Linked DNA regions of Saccharomyces cerevisiae S288C. The gene in region 2 interacts genetically with the main gene of each other region. Each region holds a gene or a part of one and is shown on either strand. Other genes may lie near its edges.

The links.
Region 1: mutations in MAL11 (region 2) and TCM62 together harm fitness more than expected from each alone (negative genetic interaction), as found in Saccharomyces cerevisiae (2 studies listed by BioGRID).
Region 3: mutations in MAL11 (region 2) and MRX18 together harm fitness more than expected from each alone (negative genetic interaction), as found in Saccharomyces cerevisiae (2 studies listed by BioGRID).
Region 4: of MAL11 (region 2) and ATH1, a mutation in one rescues a mutant of the other (synthetic rescue), as found in Saccharomyces cerevisiae (one study listed by BioGRID).

Annotation. Positions count from the first base shown.
Region 1 is NC_001134.8:323,675-328,543, forward strand, and holds TCM62 (Tcm62p), read right to left. Parts: upstream 2,386-4,869; coding exon 667-2,385; downstream 1-666. Other genes in the region: QDR3 (Qdr3p), read right to left, coding at 1-271; protein phosphatase regulator GIP1, read right to left, coding at 4,499-4,869. UniProt on the Saccharomyces cerevisiae protein: Chaperone. Required for the assembly of succinate dehydrogenase subunits. Ensures mitochondrial gene expression at elevated temperatures and prevents heat-aggregation of the ribosomal subunit VAR1.
Region 2 is NC_001139.9:1,073,289-1,078,204, forward strand, and holds MAL11 (alpha-glucoside permease), read right to left. Parts: upstream 2,526-4,916; coding exon 675-2,525; downstream 1-674. Other genes in the region: alpha-glucosidase MAL12, read left to right, coding at 3,311-4,916. UniProt on the Saccharomyces cerevisiae protein: High-affinity uptake of alpha-glucosides such as maltose, turanose, isomaltose, alpha-methylglucoside, maltotriose, palatinose, trehalose, melezitose and glucose. Acts with the concomitant transport of protons into the cell (symport system).
Region 3 is NC_001134.8:345,822-350,541, reverse strand, and holds MRX18 (17-beta-hydroxysteroid dehydrogenase-like protein), read right to left. Parts: upstream 2,664-4,720; coding exon 1,158-2,663; downstream 1-1,157. Other genes in the region: U4/U6-U5 snRNP complex subunit PRP6, read left to right, coding at 3,241-4,720.
Region 4 is NC_001148.4:613,280-619,907, reverse strand, and holds ATH1 (alpha,alpha-trehalase ATH1), read right to left. Parts: upstream 4,530-6,628; coding exon 894-4,529; downstream 1-893. Other genes in the region: TFIIH complex kinase subunit CCL1, read left to right, coding at 5,350-6,531.

The DNA.
Region 1 (4,869 bases), on a different chromosome or scaffold from region 2:
TGGCGAGTTGAGGCAATAGTCCCCTACGTTGATTCTTTGGAACAACGTATTCCTCACTCTTCAACCTACTTAGCTGGTTGTCTCTGTGTTCACGACTATTTGATGCCGTACTTTCCAGATTGGTCTTTTCGTAACTATAATCGTTGTGCTCGCTGTGCGGGCTGCCGCTGCTTTCATCGCAGTGCATCATAACATGATTGTTCGGTAGTGAATTGTCAGAGCAATTACTCCTCAAAGACCCTACATTCGATTGTGAACCTTGGGCTTGCATGTTTATCGCTTTCTGACTTCGGTCCTAGCATAGACGTTAACAAGTTAGAAAGATGTGAATACATATGCCTTCAACCCTGTTTTCTTTTAAGGATACAAGGACACAGCTATTACAACAAATTTTGTTGGTTTCTATCTTATCTAATCGATAATCTTTTAATATTTTAATCTAATCGCAGTTATCCAAAACTGGAATGAGATGGTTCAAATCCCCAAAGGTAGATGGAGTTACTGCTGAGGCGTGGAAAAACCCGAGTTTTTCCGAAGCCGCATATGAGAAATTGAGCAGGAATAATAGATATTTACGAAGAGGTAAAAGTGATAAAAGGCAGCGCCGTGGCAATATCTATTTACAATGACTCATTCTGACTATTTAAAAGTATGTAAGGGCTTTATCTAGGCTTTGTGCCGTTCAGGCTTTTTGTATACACATGTGATAATTGTATTACAGCTTGTAAGTAATTCAATGAACGTTTCTACACCGGCTAAACAAGAATCCATTTTGCTCCATGGCTCCAAGTTTCCATCCTTTACTGTGTTCACCGGTTCTGAATTTGGAGAAAACTTGGCCATTGGAAACGATTTTTCGTTTATAGCGCCTGCTATCAGGCTATTGATCTCATAATAGTTGTACCCATATGCATTCTTAAACGCCACTTCTGATGGGAGAATAACTGCTGATAAAACAGCATTGATGCCTACCTTAGTCATGAAATTGGGTTCATTTGCTTTCAGTTCATTCAAACCTGGAATTGCCTTCAGTAGGGAGATGCCGTAACCTGGGATGAAACCTTTGGCCAGCCCATGACATAGGACGTTATTTAAGCAATTATCTATTGCATTTCTTCTTCTGTCGATTTCGATTTCGTTATGTCCACCAATGCTTAAAGTGACCGTATTTTGGAGGAAGGATTTCGGAACTTTATTTGGAATCGCTTCAGCATCAATGGAGTTATATAAGAATGCCTCCCCTGTGGTCGCTTTTATGGATTCGATACTGCCGTAATATTTATCCGCACACATTTTGCTTGGCACTAAAGGACTATATTCTGGTGAGTAGATGCTGTCATATCCGCAAGGCAACCGTAAGAACTTTATAAAATCAAGATTCTCCTGTGGCGCTAAGTCATTGTTCGCCTTTTTAGAGTACTTCAAAACCACTATTCGGCTTTCATTATTTTCTCTCTTGTTTCTGTTATTGTTAATTGTAACGGATGTTAATGCATCACCTGTGCAATCTCCGTTAACGATTAAGAGAACAGATTTTCTCAACTTTCTTGCATACGTTATCGTGGGTAGAATTTTATTAGCGTCTCGTAACGTCCCATCATACATAAGAACTAGCATATCTTTATCAATGGAAACTAATTTCTTAGTAGGCAACTCCAGGGACCTTAAATAGGCTTCATTACTATCTAAAATACCAGCTGGATATTTCCAACCCTTGGATACATCAACCTCATCGTAAGTTTTGTTGCCGTTTATGACCCGCACAATGTCATCCGAAAACAATTCATAATTAATGGCTTTCAAAACCCTTTTGATGCTTTGGCTGTCTGAGGAGGACATAGTCAATTGCTCGACCAGAGCATCAACATCGTTTTGACTTTTCACTATAATCTTGTTCTTCGCAAGAAAATCTCTGATATATCGTAATCCGGCCTTGATCCCATTGGTCACTTCTTTTTCGGGATACTTGAAATAGTGCTCCAGTAAAGAGCATGTCAAAGATGTTGAAGTTGCTGTTAAGTTGTCCTGAATGCAATCCATGAATAATTGTAGACCAACCCTCCCCAGCTTTCGAGGCCTGTTTGATTGAAGTCGTGTGTTGGTAGCTTCATCTACTTGTAGGGAATCTAGTAACTCACGCATTACATTGTGAAGTCTCATGGTATCATGAGAACTAACGACCTGTGGCTTGGATTTATACTTAGGTTCATATATCAATGTTTTATTGTAGGAGGATGAAGTTATTATTTTTTCCAACAGCTTAATACCAGAGAGCGTATCTCTGAGAACCTGAAGGTTTTTTGTTCTATAGATTGGGGTGTGTAACGTTTTTACCGAACATTTCGTTTGATGATTTCCCAATTTCCTCAAACAATTCCTCAGCATACTCGTTAAAGCATAAGAGAGTTTTATGTTTACAGTAGTGTGGGAGAAAATAACGCCAGGTTAAAGCTCGTAAAAGGTAAACTATCGCACTATCGAAACTTTTGTTTCACAGGGAATGGAAGAAAGGGCCTTTATTTTTTACATTTTTTTAAGCCATAACGGATTTTAGTTACCGAGATTTTCAATCCTATAAGAATTACCTAAACTATTAAAAGCGGACCCATCTAAAACATAACGTTCGGCAAGTAGATGTATTGTTCCAAAAAGGCAATACATCCATACAACGGTGCCACCGATCTGTAATGAATGCTCCGTAATGTTTGGGGGATTCATTAAATTTACTGCTGGAACCGAGAGAGAAACACGACAGAGCAATTCATATAAATGAATAAATGAAAACTCGGTCGTATTGCCCTTAAACGTTTATAGGACCAGGTTGGCTACTTCCTCATCTCAATTTTGTGATAGGGGAGGTCTGCGTAAGGAATCAATTCGGATACCTTGGTAGTACTTTTAGGGGCACATTTTTTATTTCTACTTCTTGTATTATTAGGTATCACTGAGATCTATCTCTAATGATGCCTTCACTCCCACAGATAGCGGAAGACATTAATGCACTTCAAATCAAAACTTCTTCAACTAAAGCTACTCTTTTCGAACGCAGAAGATATAATTTCATTCCTAGAGACTTTCTACGAACCTAAAGTAGCAAATTTAAAAAAATAAAGAGTTTGATCCAACCGAGGTTCGAACTCGGGATCTTCGCCGTGTAAAGGCGACGTCTTGAACCACTGGACCATTGGACCCGGAACTCGATACTATGTCATTTTTGGATATCGGTTAGTTGTATACATTGGATATCTCATCTAAAAGCATTACGCATGCCCTATAACTGGTAAATTCAATGAATGTTTTGTAAGTTGAGGGGATGCTAATTCCCTACGAAGTATTTCTATATTATGTGCAACTACATCAAGAAGATAATATTAAAGTTGTTGGAATAAGAATCTGTTGGAATGGAAATCAACTATCGTCCATCAACTATAGTTATACTACTGGTATTATCATATACGATGTTAGATGATGACATAAGCTATGAAAAAACTGCCATTGAAGTTAAAGGAAGCTGAAATGCAAAGATTGATAATGTAATATGATAATGAAACATTTAAAACGGAATGAGGAATAATCGTAATATTATTATGTAGAAGTATCGATTCCATTCGAGGATTCCTATATCCTCGAGGAGAACTTCTAGTATATTCTGCATACATAATATTATAGCCTTAATCAATAAAAACCCCAAGAATTACCTCAAAATTCACCAATATCTCAAAATCAACCTTCATCTGTCTACCAGTAGTCATATTATTATATGTTATCATATACAGTGTAAAAAAGATGATATAAAGATTGAAAAACAGTCATCAGATGTTTGGGAAGCTGAAATAAAATATAGTAGGACAATGGGTGACAATATATAAAATGGAGAAAGAAATAGTAGCCTTATTACGTAAAAGTATCAATCTCTTTTGTAAATTTTTGTATCCTGGGGAAGAACCTTTATCATATTCTCTATTCCTAATGTTATAACCTTAACAACAACGAAATCCCAAAAATTATGACAAAATCCACCAATATATCAAAATTCACATAAAGAAAGCCGTATTCTATATAACATTGCAGAACATTTTTCTAACACATTACCAATCGTCAAAGTTCTGCCTTTACTAAATCAGGTGCTGAATTTTGAATCATATATAAATAGCCAAGTAGTTTGTGCGGTCGATTCCAACGCCGCTTATAATCCTATTCCAGCAATATTAACAATGTAGTCTTAAACTGATATGGTAACGACAGATAGAAGATAGCTGACCCATATTCAACCAAATATCTTGTCTAGAAAGGCGCATTTGATAGGCAAAAAATTGCACAGGCGTATTATCTTTGTATGCTAATGCTTTTTTATGTTATTCACTGAATACTAACTATCAGTAGTTGATTCCCTCTTAGCTACAAATGCATAACTATATGTATAATCACGTAGATAATGTATTGATGTAAAGTGAAAACAATTTTACAGAGTATTGGCAGTTAAGTGTTGTTTTTTCGCTCAAAAAACATCCTCATCAAGCGATATAATTTGTGCCCCTTGACTACTTATACCTTTCAGTTGCCTACCAATGTTTCTTTCCGTAGCTCTCATACTAAGTATGATATCAGATTTATCATTAACGGAATCTTCGCATTCAACAGCCGCAAAATCCAAAGGATATTCTTCAGAATAGTACTTGCTTAGTTGCTCTCCTCTCAGTCTATAATTTTCTGCTTCATTTCTCTGCCTTTTATACTCTGTATATTGAAAATAATGTAAAAATTGGGCTACACCTACTGTGTCACACTTCGAAGCTCTCTGAGACTCCTCATCATGCTGTGAATTCATCTTTGTCTTTAGAATTGACCTCATTTCAGTAGTCGAATAAC
Region 2 (4,916 bases):
TGCTAACACGAAATTTACCTAATTGTTTGTGAGGATGACGACCACATGGGTTTGATTTTTTTTACTAATCGCTTTTGTATATCAAATGCAATTTATTATTATTTTCATGTCACCAAGAAAGAATAATTCTTTGAAATGGTTGTTTATATCCTCAGAATTGGAAAATTATTTGCCAAGCGATTGTGAAACTATGTGATATGTTTTGAGATATTTCATGAACCATATAGAATATGCATAGTATATCCCAATAAAGCATTGAATTATGAATGTCGTATCTCTATAAGCTCTCACATTAATGCTTCAAAAATACTTCATAAAACATTATAATATAGTTTAATGTGATTTTTGCGTGATTCTCTCCTTCTTTTTATTAAGTGTATGGACATTTAAAGTAACAGTTAATTGAGAATACGGTTGACCTGGCATGTTGTTCGAATCAATATCCAGGCACAAGTACCAGGTGCTAAAGAAAAAGTACTCTCATATTTGCTTGATTGCTGCTTGGGCTATTTTAACTAACTACTAACAATATTTTGCTTAAAAAATGGTAAATATGAATGTTTTACAGAAAAATAAAAAATGTATATATATAAAATCTCGAGCTAGCTGAGGGTTTTGGGAGCAGTCAAAGGGATTCCTTATTTCTTCCAAAAAAAAAAAAACAACCCTTTTACTTAACATTTATCAGCTGCATTTAATTCTCGCTGTTTTATGCTTGAGGACTGACTGATACTCTCATCAGCTAGCGAATCATGTTGAGTTTTTCCCTTTCCGAATGGATCAACCACAGTAGATGCAAATTTTCTGGCAGGAACCCCTTGGTTGAAAAGTTCATTAATTTCACTGAAGGTTCTACCAGTTGTCTCAGGCAGATCGATGATGACCCAAGCTAAAGTGACTGCTGTGAAACCACCCCAGTATAGACCAGTTTTGGCACCCCAGTTCCAATCGCTCACGTTTAGCATATAGGGCGTTAATATAGCGTTAATAACGGCCATGAGATTGTAGCAAATACGGGCCAGCACTATAGTCTTAGTTCTCAACTCCGCTGATGGAATTTCAGCAACGATACAGTAAACAACTGCACCGATACCAGCATTGTAAAAGAATGATAAAGCCAGCAATAAACCACCGGCACCATTACTAGCGCTGCTTCCAGAACCAAAACCCATTCCACCAATAATAAATAAGCAGACCATTTGAAATGCAAGACCATAGGTCAGTATTGTCCATCTACCAACACGGCCAGATATTACCCAGGAGCAAAGTGTACCCGCTAACCCAAGACAGTACTGAATTAGAGAAAAAGTAAACGCCTTGTCGGTGGCCATACCTGCTCTTTCAAAAAAATATGTCGAGTAACCAAGTAAAACGGCACCGCTACTATTTTGAGCTACCCAAGTTAAACATGCAAGTCTCGTTCTTCTTCCATTAACTCCCTTGAAACAATTAAAGAATGATCCTGATTTAGATGCTAAAAGTCTTTCTTTTTCAATAGTCAATTCAATCTGCTTTAAAGTAAGATCAACTTGAATGTCCTTCTCGGCGCCTTTACCACTCAAAATTCTGCTTAAAGATTTTCTTGCCTCAGCGACCCTATCCTTTCTCACCAACCACCAGGGCGACTCAGGAGCGAAAAAGATACCGATCATTAAAGGAGCAGGCCAAATCCATTGTAAAGCAAATGGCAATTTATAGCCCAAGTCGGAGTTCCCTAAATTCTCTTGTGAGTTTTTCATAATACCAGAGGCGAAGATTTGACCAAATAACCAACAAATGTTGGAGTAACTGGTCATGTAATATCTTAATGCTAAAGGGCAAACTTCCGAAGCATAAGTAACAGCCAAACTTTGGAAACAACCCCATGGTATAGCTGAGAGAATTTGTCCCACAGCAATCATAGCTAAACTTTTACAGTAGTAGAGGATAAAGATATAAGCAGTTAACAAACCAAGTGCTGTAATCATCGTATAACGATTCCCCATAAATTCAACCATATAAGTCGTGATTTGCAAACCAATCATCTCACCACAAAGGACACACATGTTTAAACCAATCTGCCATTGGGAAGTAATTTCGTAAGAACCCTCCCCGTTCAAAGTACCGAATTTTCTCTGAAAAACTGGCAGGGCATACAGTGCGCTCAGTAGTGCGGTATCATAACCTTCCATAACCAGGGTAGTAGACACTAATATGGACCACAGGGCTGCTTTTGGATATTTTAGCAACGCCTGCTTCAAAGTCATGCTTTTTTCCTCGCTGTTAGCTTCATTTGCATCATCAGTAGCGTTCATCTCATTAATCACATTCTCGTTATCTTCGTCAGAATCTCCTAACTGGGCTGAATTGGTGGTGAACTCTAAGTGGTCTAGCTCAAAGGCACTATCCTTTTTCCCTTCTTCAAAATCTTCAGTATTGAAAACCTCCTGTTGGTTTACAATATCTCTTGAAGACTCAGAAATGTTTTTATCCTCATTTTTTGAGGCAGCCTTCTTCTTGCTTACCAATGAAATGATATTTTTCATATTATACTATTTTTTTAGTTGTTTGATGTTCTTCTATGTAGCATCAGAAAGAAACACCAACCCGAAAATTCTTCAAACAATCAATACCAAACCGCTTTATATAAAAAATTAAGATGTCGACATTCCTTATTTTTTACTGAGTTCGTTAAAGTTGGGTACACTCTTGATTACTGTAATTGTCTCTGTATGTCCCTCAAGCCCGGTACGTTGTCATTTTCTAGTACGCATCAACGGAGTGTTACATGATAGATAGACCGAGTAGAATCTATGGCTATGGGGTAATTAAAACCTTAAAGCTCCTTTCGCTGCCATAGTAATACGAATAGACCTTGGCTATAGTAAGTTGCATCTGTACCGTAGAGATTCTTGCAACTCGCTTAAACTCTCGCTTTTAGATAATATTTCTCCTTATTGCGCGCTTCGTTGAAAATTTCGCTAAACACGGGGTTTAAGTTAAAGTTTACAGGATTTATCCGGAAATTTTCGCGGACCCCACACAATTAAGAATTGGCTCGAAGAGTGATAACGCATACTTTTCTTTTCTTTTTTTAGTTCCTAGCGTACCTAACGTAGGTAACATGATTTGGATCGTGGGATGATACAAACAACGTAAGATGAATAGTTCCTTCCTCAATTCTTCTTGCAGCATCATTTTCTTGAGGCGCTCTGGGCAAGGTATAAAAAGTTCCATTAATACGTCTCTAAAAAATTAAATCATCCATCTCTTAAGCAGTTTTTTTGATAATCTCAAATGTACATCAGTCAAGCGTAACTAAATTACATAAATGACTATTTCTGATCATCCAGAAACAGAACCAAAGTGGTGGAAAGAGGCCACAATCTATCAAATTTACCCAGCAAGTTTTAAAGACTCCAATAACGATGGCTGGGGTGATTTAAAAGGTATCACTTCCAAGTTGCAGTATATTAAAGATCTTGGCGTTGATGCTATTTGGGTTTGTCCGTTTTATGACTCTCCTCAACAAGATATGGGGTATGATATATCCAACTACGAAAAGGTCTGGCCCACATATGGTACCAATGAGGACTGTTTTGAGCTAATTGACAAGACTCATAAGCTGGGTATGAAATTCATCACCGATTTGGTTATCAACCACTGTTCTACAGAACACGAATGGTTCAAAGAGAGCAGATCCTCGAAGACCAATCCGAAGCGTGACTGGTTCTTCTGGAGACCTCCTAAGGGTTATGACGCCGAAGGCAAGCCAATTCCTCCAAACAATTGGAAATCTTTCTTTGGTGGTTCAGCTTGGACTTTTGATGAAACTACAAATGAATTTTACCTCCGTTTGTTTGCGAGTCGTCAAGTTGACTTGAATTGGGAGAATGAAGACTGCAGAAGGGCAATCTTTGAAAGTGCTGTTGGATTTTGGCTGGACCATGGTGTAGATGGTTTTAGAATCGATACCGCTGGTTTGTATTCGAAACGTCCTGGTTTACCAGATTCCCCAATTTTTGACAAAACCTCGAAATTACAACATCCAAATTGGGGGTCTCACAATGGTCCTAGGATTCATGAATATCATCAAGAACTACACAGATTTATGAAAAACAGGGTGAAAGATGGTAGAGAAATAATGACAGTCGGTGAAGTTGCCCATGGAAGTGATAATGCTTTATACACCAGTGCAGCTAGATACGAAGTCAGCGAAGTTTTCTCCTTCACGCACGTTGAAGTTGGTACCTCGCCATTTTTCCGTTATAACATAGTGCCCTTCACCTTGAAACAATGGAAAGAAGCCATTGCATCGAACTTTTTGTTCATTAACGGTACTGATAGTTGGGCTACCACCTACATCGAGAATCACGATCAAGCCCGGTCAATTACGAGATTTGCTGACGATTCGCCAAAGTACCGTAAAATATCTGGTAAGCTGTTAACATTGCTAGAATGTTCATTGACAGGTACGTTGTATGTCTATCAAGGTCAGGAGATAGGCCAGATCAATTTCAAGGAATGGCCTATTGAAAAGTATGAGGACGTTGATGTGAAAAACAACTACGAGATTATCAAAAAAAGTTTTGGTAAAAACTCGAAGGAAATGAAGGATTTTTTTAAAGGAATCGCCCTACTTTCTAGAGATCATTCGAGAACTCCCATGCCATGGACGAAAGATAAGCCCAATGCTGGATTTACTGGCCCAGATGTTAAACCTTGGTTTCTCTTGAATGAATCTTTCGAGCAAGGAATCAATGTTGAGCAGGAATCCAGAGATGATGACTCAGTTCTCAATTTTTGGAAAAGGGCCTTGCAAGCCAGAAAGAAATATAAGGAACTTATGATTTATGGTTACGATTTCCAATTCATTGATTTAGACAGTGACCAGATCTTTAGCTTCACTAAAGAGTACGAAGACAAGACGCTGTTTG
Region 3 (4,720 bases), on a different chromosome or scaffold from region 2:
ATGTCATTCTCTTACACCTTATATGATAATATACTAGTAATATGAAAACTCGTCAATATTAGTATTTGAATTTCATTAGAACACAAAAGTGTATATCACCTTGATATTCCACTCACGAGCTACAGGTAGTAGATTGTTTAATGACTTGCTCAACAAAATAGCGTGAATTATCACTAAGTAAACAACGGCTCTTCTCACACCCTGAAAAACAAGTACTCGAGAGTCTGTGTTACTTGCCTCGCAATTGTTACCTAAGATGGACAATTACCGATGGATGACTTCATCATCTGTCACAGCCATCGCTTTTTGCGCTGCCATATAATACATGTTAACCGTACGCAACTCGGTGAACATAACCGTGGGGTTACTTTTGTTTGAGTAGTTAGATGTAGTGTCTTTCTTGATGGTATAAGCTACTATAATATTAGGAACGGCCGATACCTGGCGACAAAAGTTCAAAATACCCAACGGGCAGCTGGGCTTATGGAACAACGCAAAAACAATTTTCGGTCATTATATCAAAGTTTATGGCTATGAAACAACAATATGTGTGGCTGCATGTTTAGCCAATGACGCCTTTTTTATAACCCTGCCAAATCCCAACTTCAAGGCAGCTTAATACCTCCAATACATCTTTTGGGAGGTTGATTCAAACATTCACAGCAGAGTAGCTTATACGCTTATCAACTCATCTTTCCTCTGATTAAAAAGAGACTCTGGCTTGCTTTGTAATATTATTTATTTTGGCTCAAAGTTTTTACTTAATTTCCTCCATTATTGCTCTATTCGGAAATTTTTAATAACTCTCAAATGCTTAAAGATCGCCCATGTTACTTGAGTTTTTAATTTAAATAGTTCACCTTACTTGAATGTTCTATTGGGTAAAATAGAATGATTTGAAGATGGCAAATACTAAAAATATCATAGCGCTTCATCTTGATTACCATTATTCCGGTGCTTTTATGATATTGCGTATCAACTTCATTTAAAGAAAAACCTCATTTCAGCTGAAAGTAAAAGTATTGAGTACTCTACTGGCAGTAGCTGGATAATTGAAAACTTACGAAGTGCCGCCACAACAGCTTTTTTTTTATTTTCGACAGTAAACCAAAAGAATAGAAACGCCTATAGTTAGTATATATGTGTTTGTATATTTCTTAATACTTATTAAACTCATCTAACCCACGTTGGTAGCCTTGATCCCATTCCCACATAAATTCGCTATCTTTTTTGGCAGAAACGTATTCAGCTCTTCTTTGCGACTTCCATGAATGCCATCTACCAATTAATGAATTGTCAAATTTCCTAAAGGCAATTATATCATCAACAGCTGTCTTTATGCCATCCTCAAACCTCCAGTGTTCAAAATTTTTACCTTTACCGTTCCAATAAGCCTCGTGTTCATGGATTATTGAATCTATTTTCTTCTTGTCGACTTGTAAGTCATCACCGTGAGGACGTTTTGGTAAATTTCCTTTCTGCATCATGGGAGCTAAGCCCCATTCACCTCCATCACCGTATTCAAACTGCAAAGTCCAAAAAAACCAACCCCAACTAGCTACATGAGAAAATACATCTGCTTGGGTTTGTACGTATTTTTGAACAATAGCGTCTCTGTCGCCAGAAGTTTTATTCCAAGTTTGTCCATCAAGAACACCAGAAAATTCACCAACAGTATAATCGGCATCTTCATGAGGAAAATTCACAGTATTTGGCAAATCCTTGATAATGGAATTGGCATCCTTCGACTTATCAGAATCAGAAAAACAGCGGTAGACATGAGAATCAATGACCACTATTTCACTAAAATGTTTTTCTTTAACCCAGTCTGCCCATTGTTGGGGCCACCAACCATCGGATATTATGACAGGTAAACCTGGTTGAAGTTTTTCAACGGTATTAATGGCTTCTGAATAATAGAATTTTTGGCCCTTTGGGTTATTATCAAAACATGCCTCATTAACCACTTGAATACCAATGATGTTTTCGTTGCCCAGAGTCATTGTGTTAATAATTGCAGGTAAAATATCTTTGTAGACTTTGGTCATGTACTTTTCCTTGTGGAAAAACGCAGCTTCACCACTCTTCGAGCCACTGTGTGAGTCGCAATTAGCGCCTCCTGGTAGACCATGCAAATCTATCAATACACCAATGCTCATTTTCTTGGCATTATTGATTAATTCGCCAAGTTTTTCCCAAGGTTTGGCTAACTCATAAACTTTTCTCAATGGGGCAAATGGAAGCGAATCTAAATGCTTCCCATCTTCGACATGCCAATATCCAATTGGAATACGTAACGCTGTAATATGGGCATCTTTAGATAGCCATTCCCAGTCAATTCGATCAATGTACTTTTTATAGTGATCGCTTAACATTTTCGCAACGTCTTCAGAAGAATGCTTCTTCAATTGTTGGGAAATAGCATCAAATTCGCTATCATATTCTTTCCCATCGATTGTACAAATGGTTTCTTTAGAAAAAATCCATGGTTCGAGCACAAATAACGCACCCAAGTTTACACCATAATTGTAACGGTACTTGTAGATAGTTGATCTATCAAGGTCCTTTGCAGGGGGTAGTTTCGGTAGTGTTGTAGATAAATTTTGACCTCCCTTTTCAGAAACTTTGAAATGCTCAAATTTGTTTCTAAGTGAGCCAATCATTCTGTGCAGTTCAAAAGTTTTAATAAATTTTATAGATGGATAGAGAGTCTTTTTTAAAGCAACTCTTCCCAACAGAGTTCGAATTGAAGAAAAGAAAGTTATGTCTTAGTTCATCCATCCCCCCTAATTCCCTTCTTTTAAGCATTTTTTAAGCCATGATGGCAGAGAAAATGTATATTAAAAAAATATTACTGAAGGATGCGAGGTTCGAACTCGCGCGGACAACCGTCCAACAGATCTTAAGTCTGCCGCCTTAGACCACTCGGCCAACCCTCCGTATAAATGAATAGTTATTTTCAATAACCACACTTATATTAATTGTATTAATTGCAGCACTCTTTCTTTAGTAGCTCCTCCGGAGACCTTTATGAAATGATGGCGTTTCTTCTTTTAATAAATAATGTAACGAAAGTATTTTTAAAAGTCTTCTTTACCGTTGATAGAACCTTGGGCTAATTTAACCAGTACATTTATAGTGTGTCAGATTGTTCTATTAAGCAAAAAAAAACGAAAAATTTCAGAAAATATACGGGTGAGTTGACATAAAGAGTTTAACAGCAAGAAAACGTCACATTTTATGGAGAGGCCATCTTTTTTGGATCAAGAACCACCTGCAGGTTACGTACCAGGTATTGGTCGTGGAGCCACTGGATTTTCAACAAAAGAAAAGCAAGTGGTTAGTAATGATGACAAAGGAAGAAGAATACCGAAAAGGTACCGTGAAAATTTGAACAACCATCTTCAAAGCCAACCGAAAGATGATGAAGATGATGAAGCTGCAAATGTATTCAAAACGCTTGAATTGAAATTAGCACAAAAGAAAAAGAAAAGAGCTAATGAAAAGGATGATGACAATTCAGTTGATTCTTCAAACGTGAAACGGCAATTTGCCGATTTGAAAGAATCATTAGCTGCTGTAACGGAGAGTGAGTGGATGGATATTCCGGATGCCACAGATTTTACAAGAAGAAACAAGAGAAATAGAATTCAAGAGCAATTAAACAGAAAAACTTATGCTGCACCGGATTCGCTAATACCTGGGAATGTTGATTTAAATAAATTAACGGAAGAACGAGAAAAATTATTGCAATCTCAAATAGATGAGAATCTTGCACAATTAACGAAGAATGCAAGTAACCCTATACAGGTTAATAAACCGAACGCTGCTACCGATGCCCTAAGTTACTTAAAGGACTTAGAAAACGATAGAGTAAATTCTCTCTCAGACGCAACGTTAGAAGATTTACAGAAAATGCGCACAATTTTAAAGTCATACAGAAAGGCCGATCCAACAAATCCACAGGGTTGGATAGCTTCTGCCAGATTAGAAGAAAAGGCAAGAAAATTTTCAGTAGCAAAAAAAATAATAGAAAATGGTTGCCAAGAGTGCCCTCGAAGCTCCGATATTTGGCTAGAAAACATTAGACTACACGAATCTGATGTTCACTACTGTAAAACATTAGTGGCAACGGCAATAAATTTTAATCCAACGTCTCCGCTTCTTTGGTTCAAAGCTATTGATTTGGAAAGCACAACGGTTAACAAATATAGAGTAGTGAGAAAAGCACTGCAAGAGATTCCTCGAGATGAGGGCCTATGGAAGCTAGCTGTCAGTTTTGAAGCTGACAAAGCGCAAGTTATAAAAATGTTAGAGAAAGCCACACAATTTATTCCACAAAGTATGGATCTCTTGACTGCATATACTAATTTGCAAAGCTATCATAATGCTAAAATGACTTTGAATTCCTTCAGAAAAATCCTTCCGCAAGAACCGGAAATTTGGATTATCTCTACACTCTTGGAAGAACGAAATAACCCAGATATACCTGTAGATAAACTAGTTAGTTTGCTCAAGGAGGGTTTATTGGAACTCTCTAAAAATGGGTACAAAGCGACCTTGTCAGCATGGTTGAAACGTGCAGAGGCTCTAAATGATGCGCCCAATTCAAATTTAACCTGTCAAGCCATCGTTTACGCTATATTAGAATGGTTAAGAGAAAGTGGCGAGTATGAGTCTGAGTTGAATAATGTTGATCAGATATTAGAAAAAATGCCAC
Region 4 (6,628 bases), on a different chromosome or scaffold from region 2:
AATACATTATACACCTGAAGTAATAAATTTGTGGGGGACGTCATTTAAAGCCAAAATACTTCTTAACACACAATTACTATAAACTATTCCTGTAGATTAGCCCACCCCACCTTGAGAAAACCTTCAGGATACCAAATGGCAGGACCCAACTAACACAAACTCATTTTCTTCAATTTATACAAAGTACGTTTTTCTTTCGTGAATAGTATATAGAGCTTTAAATATTTGCCTAGTAGGCTTCTGTATTTTCAGATTGGCGCTACATCAAGTTACCTCTAATGTATTGAATCTAGAATATAAAAATGTATGCAAACATTATCGTTGCAAATTTAATTTAAGTTGCGAGAAATTTAGGAATATTTCTGTTCAAACCCTACTGACGAGAGAAGAGCCAATATCAAATCTGGTGGTAATCCCGATGGAATCAGAATCGTCTAGTAGGAATTTGAAGTCTATTTTTTTAATATGGACTCATACAAAAAATTAGAAAAGGCGCCAATTAAAAATGTGCAATCAATGTAATGAAAGAACTGATCTCAATGGCAGGAAGATCAAATTGGTAGGTAGATCATGTCTATATAATGCATGTGAAAATTTTATAGAAAACTGTTGTGGGCTCTGGAAAACAGGCTGCTAAACAGTACTTAGTGGAATTAAAGTACGCTGGTGCAAAAGACCAATTTCAAGGTCACTACTATATAAGGTGCAAAAAAAGCTTGTAGTAAAAATTATTGCTCCTAAATGTCACCCTATAGAAAAAAAAAAGCTTTTATATAAGCATGCATGATATTTTCAATATAGTGCCTTTAAAATATATATCCTACGAAAAAATTGGTAACTTTTATCCAAACTTATAATATTAAAAAAAGCGCTACTTATATGCATCATTTCATTTAATCATTGAGAACAATTTCCTTGATTGTAGCTCCTTTGTTATCATCATCATAATCATCATACACTCCTTGTACTGCCACAACTATGTATCTTGTTTTCCTCCAATCTGTGTTCCCTTTATCACCCACCTGCAATTTATCATAATCAATAGTGAAAGTCGTTCTATTACTGGGTAATATCTCGATTAACGACTGGTTGCGACTTGCTTCGTAGTATGGCTCACTTGGGCTCACTGGCACGTTATCCAGAATTTTCACAAATTTTCTTTTTAGAAAGTTAAGTCTGGGTATTTGTTCAATTAGCTTGGCTAAGTCTTCCTTCTTCCAGTGCAATAAGGCTTGCACATCATCCAAAGATTCATCATCCTCTTGTTCTATGCCATCAAAATCAATAACGTTCTCGACAGGAATTCCGGCATTATCTAAAAGCTGACCAATGGTTTCATTAAGAAGTTGATCATTTCCCGAATTTTGCATAATTTCTGTCACGTTCGCAAATAAATTTTCGACTTTTTCAGAATGAGGCAAAATAGATATGGAAATGTTTTTTGCGGGCCTCTGCCCCCAAAGAATCATTCCCTTGGTAATCTCTTTCTCGTTGTATTCACCTAAATCAATCAATAGCTTCGCACGGTGAATTTTGTCTAAGGGTTGCCAATGCGTGTAATTATTCCCATCTAGAGCAGAGAATGCAACGTCACCAGGAACGCCGGCCGTCAAGTTTGTTATTTGCTTATTTTCCGCTATGTTGTTTCTTGCGTTTAAGCCAGGCTTGAACAGTTGGACTGTAAGCTCTTGTTTCGGTTTTAAAAGATAATAGGTACCATACCTATCCATCCTCATTGGATCACCAACACGGTCGACGTCTCTACGCTCTAGATTTGGTTTTCTTTCGTTTTCGGAACCATTATAGAAGTTGATATCCTGGTCATGTATTAGAGATCTGTTTGGTATCTTTATATGAATAGGAACATCTCCTGATTTATGAACAATCGTACCATTGTGGTCGTCAATTATTATATCTAAAACTTGGTTCATATATTTGAAGTTTCTAATAGCGATACCACCAGGGAGCAACGGTAGTTCTATTGGATTGAACCTTAACAAACGGTTAATTTTTTTAGTATCTGGATCAACCTCATAAGAATATCGGATTCCTGTTAACCCAAACAGAATGCTCTGTAGAAATCCACCGTTAGCTGTTAAAAAGGGGAATGCTGGCTGGGTTAATCCGTTTGTTAAAAAGTTGTCGTCTGATTGCTCACTAAATTGAGCGAAAGGAGCCCGTAAGTATGGAAGAACCGATTTATATAAGTAACTTTGAGAAGAAGAGCCGTGATTCAGCAGACCAGCAGCTGCGGCCACAAAAACCGGATATGTCATTGCAGGCCCAGACGCAGACTGTCTTTCTGAATAATAATAAAGATCTTTAATTGCATTGTTCAATATGGATTCATCATTGATATATCCAAGTGGGTAAACCATTAAAGTCACATCCGCCTGTTTAATCTCCACTGAGCTATTCATACCAGAATATTCCAAAGTGATGTTAGATGAGGATCTAGGGATATAAATATCTTTGGAAATTTCACTCCATTTGGGGTCAACGACCTCGCCGAGATGATTGCCAATGTCTGTTGCCCACTTTAGAAGTGTTTTAATGCCAGCATTCGTGAAAGCCCCGTTATTGATGTGATTAGCAAACTCGTCGGGATCTGTCAAATTATATGTTTCATACAATCCTAGGGAAGAATTGTACTTAACATAAGCAGTAAAAAATTGGGCTGCGTTTTTGATAATTGGCCATGTAGTATATCTCAGATACTCGTCATCAATCCCTTCGTGTCCATTCAAGTATATGGAAAAGGAGGCCATAGCGACATCAACGTTAATATGGTATTCGTAATCGACACAAGGTCCCGTAGAAGTACAATTAGCGTACTTACCAGATGTCCAGGGGTATATTGCTCCGGGGTATCCATATTTCTCTGCATTTAACTTTGCCTGCGAATGTGTAGCATTTCTGTAATTATTCATATTTTGAGCCACATTTGGGAAGAAAGGCAATAGGGCAGGTTCCATCCATATATCTGCGTCCCAGAACACCATACCACCATAGGAATCTGATGACAAACCAGAAACTCCCACGGGAAGACCCCTATCGCTCGAGACATTGTAATCTCTTGTATTTGCTAGTAAATGGAATAGGGACGATCTTGCTGTCATTTCTAAAAGACTGTCAGAAGGAATTTCAATGAAGGCGTCGTTGTAAAGGTCATACCACGCACGTTTGTGACTTGACAGAAGCTTCTCGTAATTGCCTTTACTGTTTAGAGCTATCATTTTGGCCAAACCAATATTAGTATTGTCTTGTTGTTCTTTGTTCTTATTGAACTCAGTAGACATAATACCAACATACTTATGAACGATTATCTTGGGTTGGTCCTCTGTCAAAATAACATTATAAATATTAGAAGAAACATCTTTTTCTTCAAAAGATTCACTAGAATTTATTGGATTGGTGGAATTTTCATACTTTACAGTACACGTTGAGTAAATAGCGCAATTAGAAGATGGAACGTTATCTGGCTGAACAATCATGAAAACCGCATTATTTTTTTCGTCTGTTCCCGTGCTATGTAGAACAGTCCTATGTGATGTGTTGAAATCAAGTATATCCCATATATTAACATCTAATGAATCAAAATCCGAAGGTAAATGGTCCGTATTCAGGGAAATTTCCAAAGAAACCACTCCCAGTGGATGAATGTGCCGATGTGCCCAGATTTCACTTTTAACATGTATTTGACTGTTTAGCCAATCTAACTCCGTAGTTACGATACCATCCTTCATTGATAAGTTTTGGCTATAATTAGTTACGTCATCCAACGTAACATTTTGTGGATTGAACCACTTAGAATCATTCACTAATGAGAACTGTAGATTGGTCCATTGTGGAATAGATGAAATGACAGTGGAATATCCTACATCATCCAATTCTGGGAAGTTTGTTGAATTTAGTTTTGGTTGTAGACAATAAAAGTCCGATACAAACGCACCGGCAAATCTATGATTTCTTAAGGGCCAACCGTTATTCAAAGCGCCTGGTGCGTCTGTGTAAAAATTCAGGGTGTCTAAGGCATAGCCGAACCCAATATTGGGAATACGACTACCTATATAACCGTTAGCAACATATGGTTGTCTCGAGTATGTATTCTTTGAGAACAAGTTACTTCCCAAAATCATGTTCTCATCATCATAATATGCCGTGTTGAAATCAGAAAGGAGTTCATAAAGTTTTTTAGAAGATTCCCTTGCTTCTGGATCGTAGTTCAACGTATGATTTCCCAATGACGGCGATATCACACCCAGAGGGTTAAATAGGGCAGCCCTCGAGGCATGTGAGTATGTAAGCCTGGAACTCTTTGTTAAATATAATGCAGTGACGAAGATAGCTAATAAAAATAGCATCATCAGTAAAAGTATAGAGTTGATCAAGTCAAACCTTGAGAAAGAACGATAATTTTTAGAGCGAGAGTTATTACCGGTACTATTTTTGTTCCTCAAACTAGGAGAATTGTTAAGGTTTGAATAAGAAGCCTCCGCATTGAACCAAAGCGATCTTATTCTTTTCATTATTGGAATGAGGAAATTTCGGTAAAAACAGATGCAATATTAGGTGATACTAGCAGGCTCTCATAAAGGACTGATGAATCCTTTTTTAAGGAGCAATAAGATTCTTTTTTTTTTTTTTTTTACTTGAAAAAAAGGGAGTGGTAATATGGTGAAAAGTGGAGAAATTTTGTTATTATTATTCAATAACGACAAGAATTCTCTTTCCGAATATAAAAACGGCGCGGCTGTTGGTTTGTCGTGATACGTAGTGCTTGCTTGGACTTGGAAGTAAGACTATACCAAAAAGGAAATAAATTTTGAGGGGCAAAGAAGAGATGCTTGTACTGCCTTGCTGACTCAGATTGTTCGTTGATTTTGCTCAACTTTCCGCTTGCTTAGAGTGAACGTGATAGCTTTACGGCTAGAATCAAGATGAATGTTCCTTTCTTTTTCCGAAGTATTTGCCCTTATTGAAAAAGAATGATAAGGGATATACGAATAGACTGGTAAATATTGTAGATACACTTGTTTTTAGTGAAGCGAGAATAACAAAGCTTCAGCTAGAGACGTGACGGCTGAGAGGTGACCTGAAAGAAAGTAGTTATTGCTGGCTTGAAGAGTGAAATAACCTTGGTACAGACTTTGATAGCACGAACTGTTTGCCATCCAGAGAAGAAAGGGCCTCTCATTTCCTGCGGTATCCCTTCGTTGTTTAAGCCGTTCACAATCCGGGTAATAAATTTGATCTTAACACAGTTTTTATATTAAGAAAGATCTCAAACAAATGAGTGAATATTAAGTTTAAGAGAGGAAAATACTGTGCTGCACAGATATTGATAGAATGACGGATATTCAACTAAATGGAAAGAGTACATTAGATACTCCTTCTGCTACCATGTCAGCAAAAGAAAAAGAGGCAAAATTAAAATCGGCTGATGAGAATAACAAGCCACCGAACTACAAAAGAATTTCTGACGATGATTTATATAGGCACTCTTCTCAGTATAGAATGTGGTCATACACTAAAGATCAACTTCAGGAGAAAAGGGTAGATACCAATGCCCGAGCGATTGCTTACATTGAGGAAAATTTATTAAAATTTAGAGAAGCACACAATTTAACAGAAGAAGAAATAAAAGTACTAGAAGCAAAGGCTATCCCTTTGACAATGGAAGAAGAACTCGATTTGGTGAATTTCTACGCAAAAAAAGTTCAGGTAATAGCACAGCATCTAAATTTGCCAACCGAAGTAGTGGCCACTGCGATATCCTTTTTTAGGCGTTTTTTCTTAGAAAATTCTGTTATGCAAATAGATCCTAAAAGTATTGTACATACTACTATCTTTCTAGCCTGCAAATCGGAGAACTATTTTATTAGCGTGGACTCGTTTGCTCAAAAGGCCAAATCTACTAGAGATAGTGTTCTCAAATTCGAGTTTAAGTTGTTAGAATCATTGAAATTTTCACTGTTGAACCATCATCCTTACAAACCGCTTCATGGGTTTTTCTTAGATATCCAGAACGTCCTTTATGGTAAGGTTGATTTAAATTACATGGGCCAAATATACGATAGGTGTAAGAAGAGAATAACTGCCGCATTATTAACCGATGTCGTATATTTCTACACTCCACCCCAAATAACACTAGCAACATTATTGATTGAGGATGAAGCCTTGGTCACAAGGTATTTAGAAACAAAATTTCCCAGCAGAGAAGGTAGCCAGGAATCAGTACCGGGAAACGAAAAAGAAGAACCACAAAATGATGCCAGTACAACTGAGAAAAACAAAGAGAAGTCCACAGAGAGCGAAGAATATTCGATAGACTCCGCGAAGTTACTAACCATAATACGCGAGTGTAAAAGTATTATTGAAGATTGTAAACCTCCGAGTACTGAAGAGGCCAAGAAAATTGCGGCAAAAAACTATTATTGTCAAAATCCATCAACACTGATTCAGAAATTAAAAAGGAAGTTGAATGGAGAAGATACTTCGTCCACCGTTGAGAAAAAGCAAAAAACATGAAACAGCTCTGTTACCGTAGGTTTCTGTTTTATATATATATATAGATTAAGATGCATAGGTATATAGACCGGCGCCATTTTATATTATTTCATGCCAT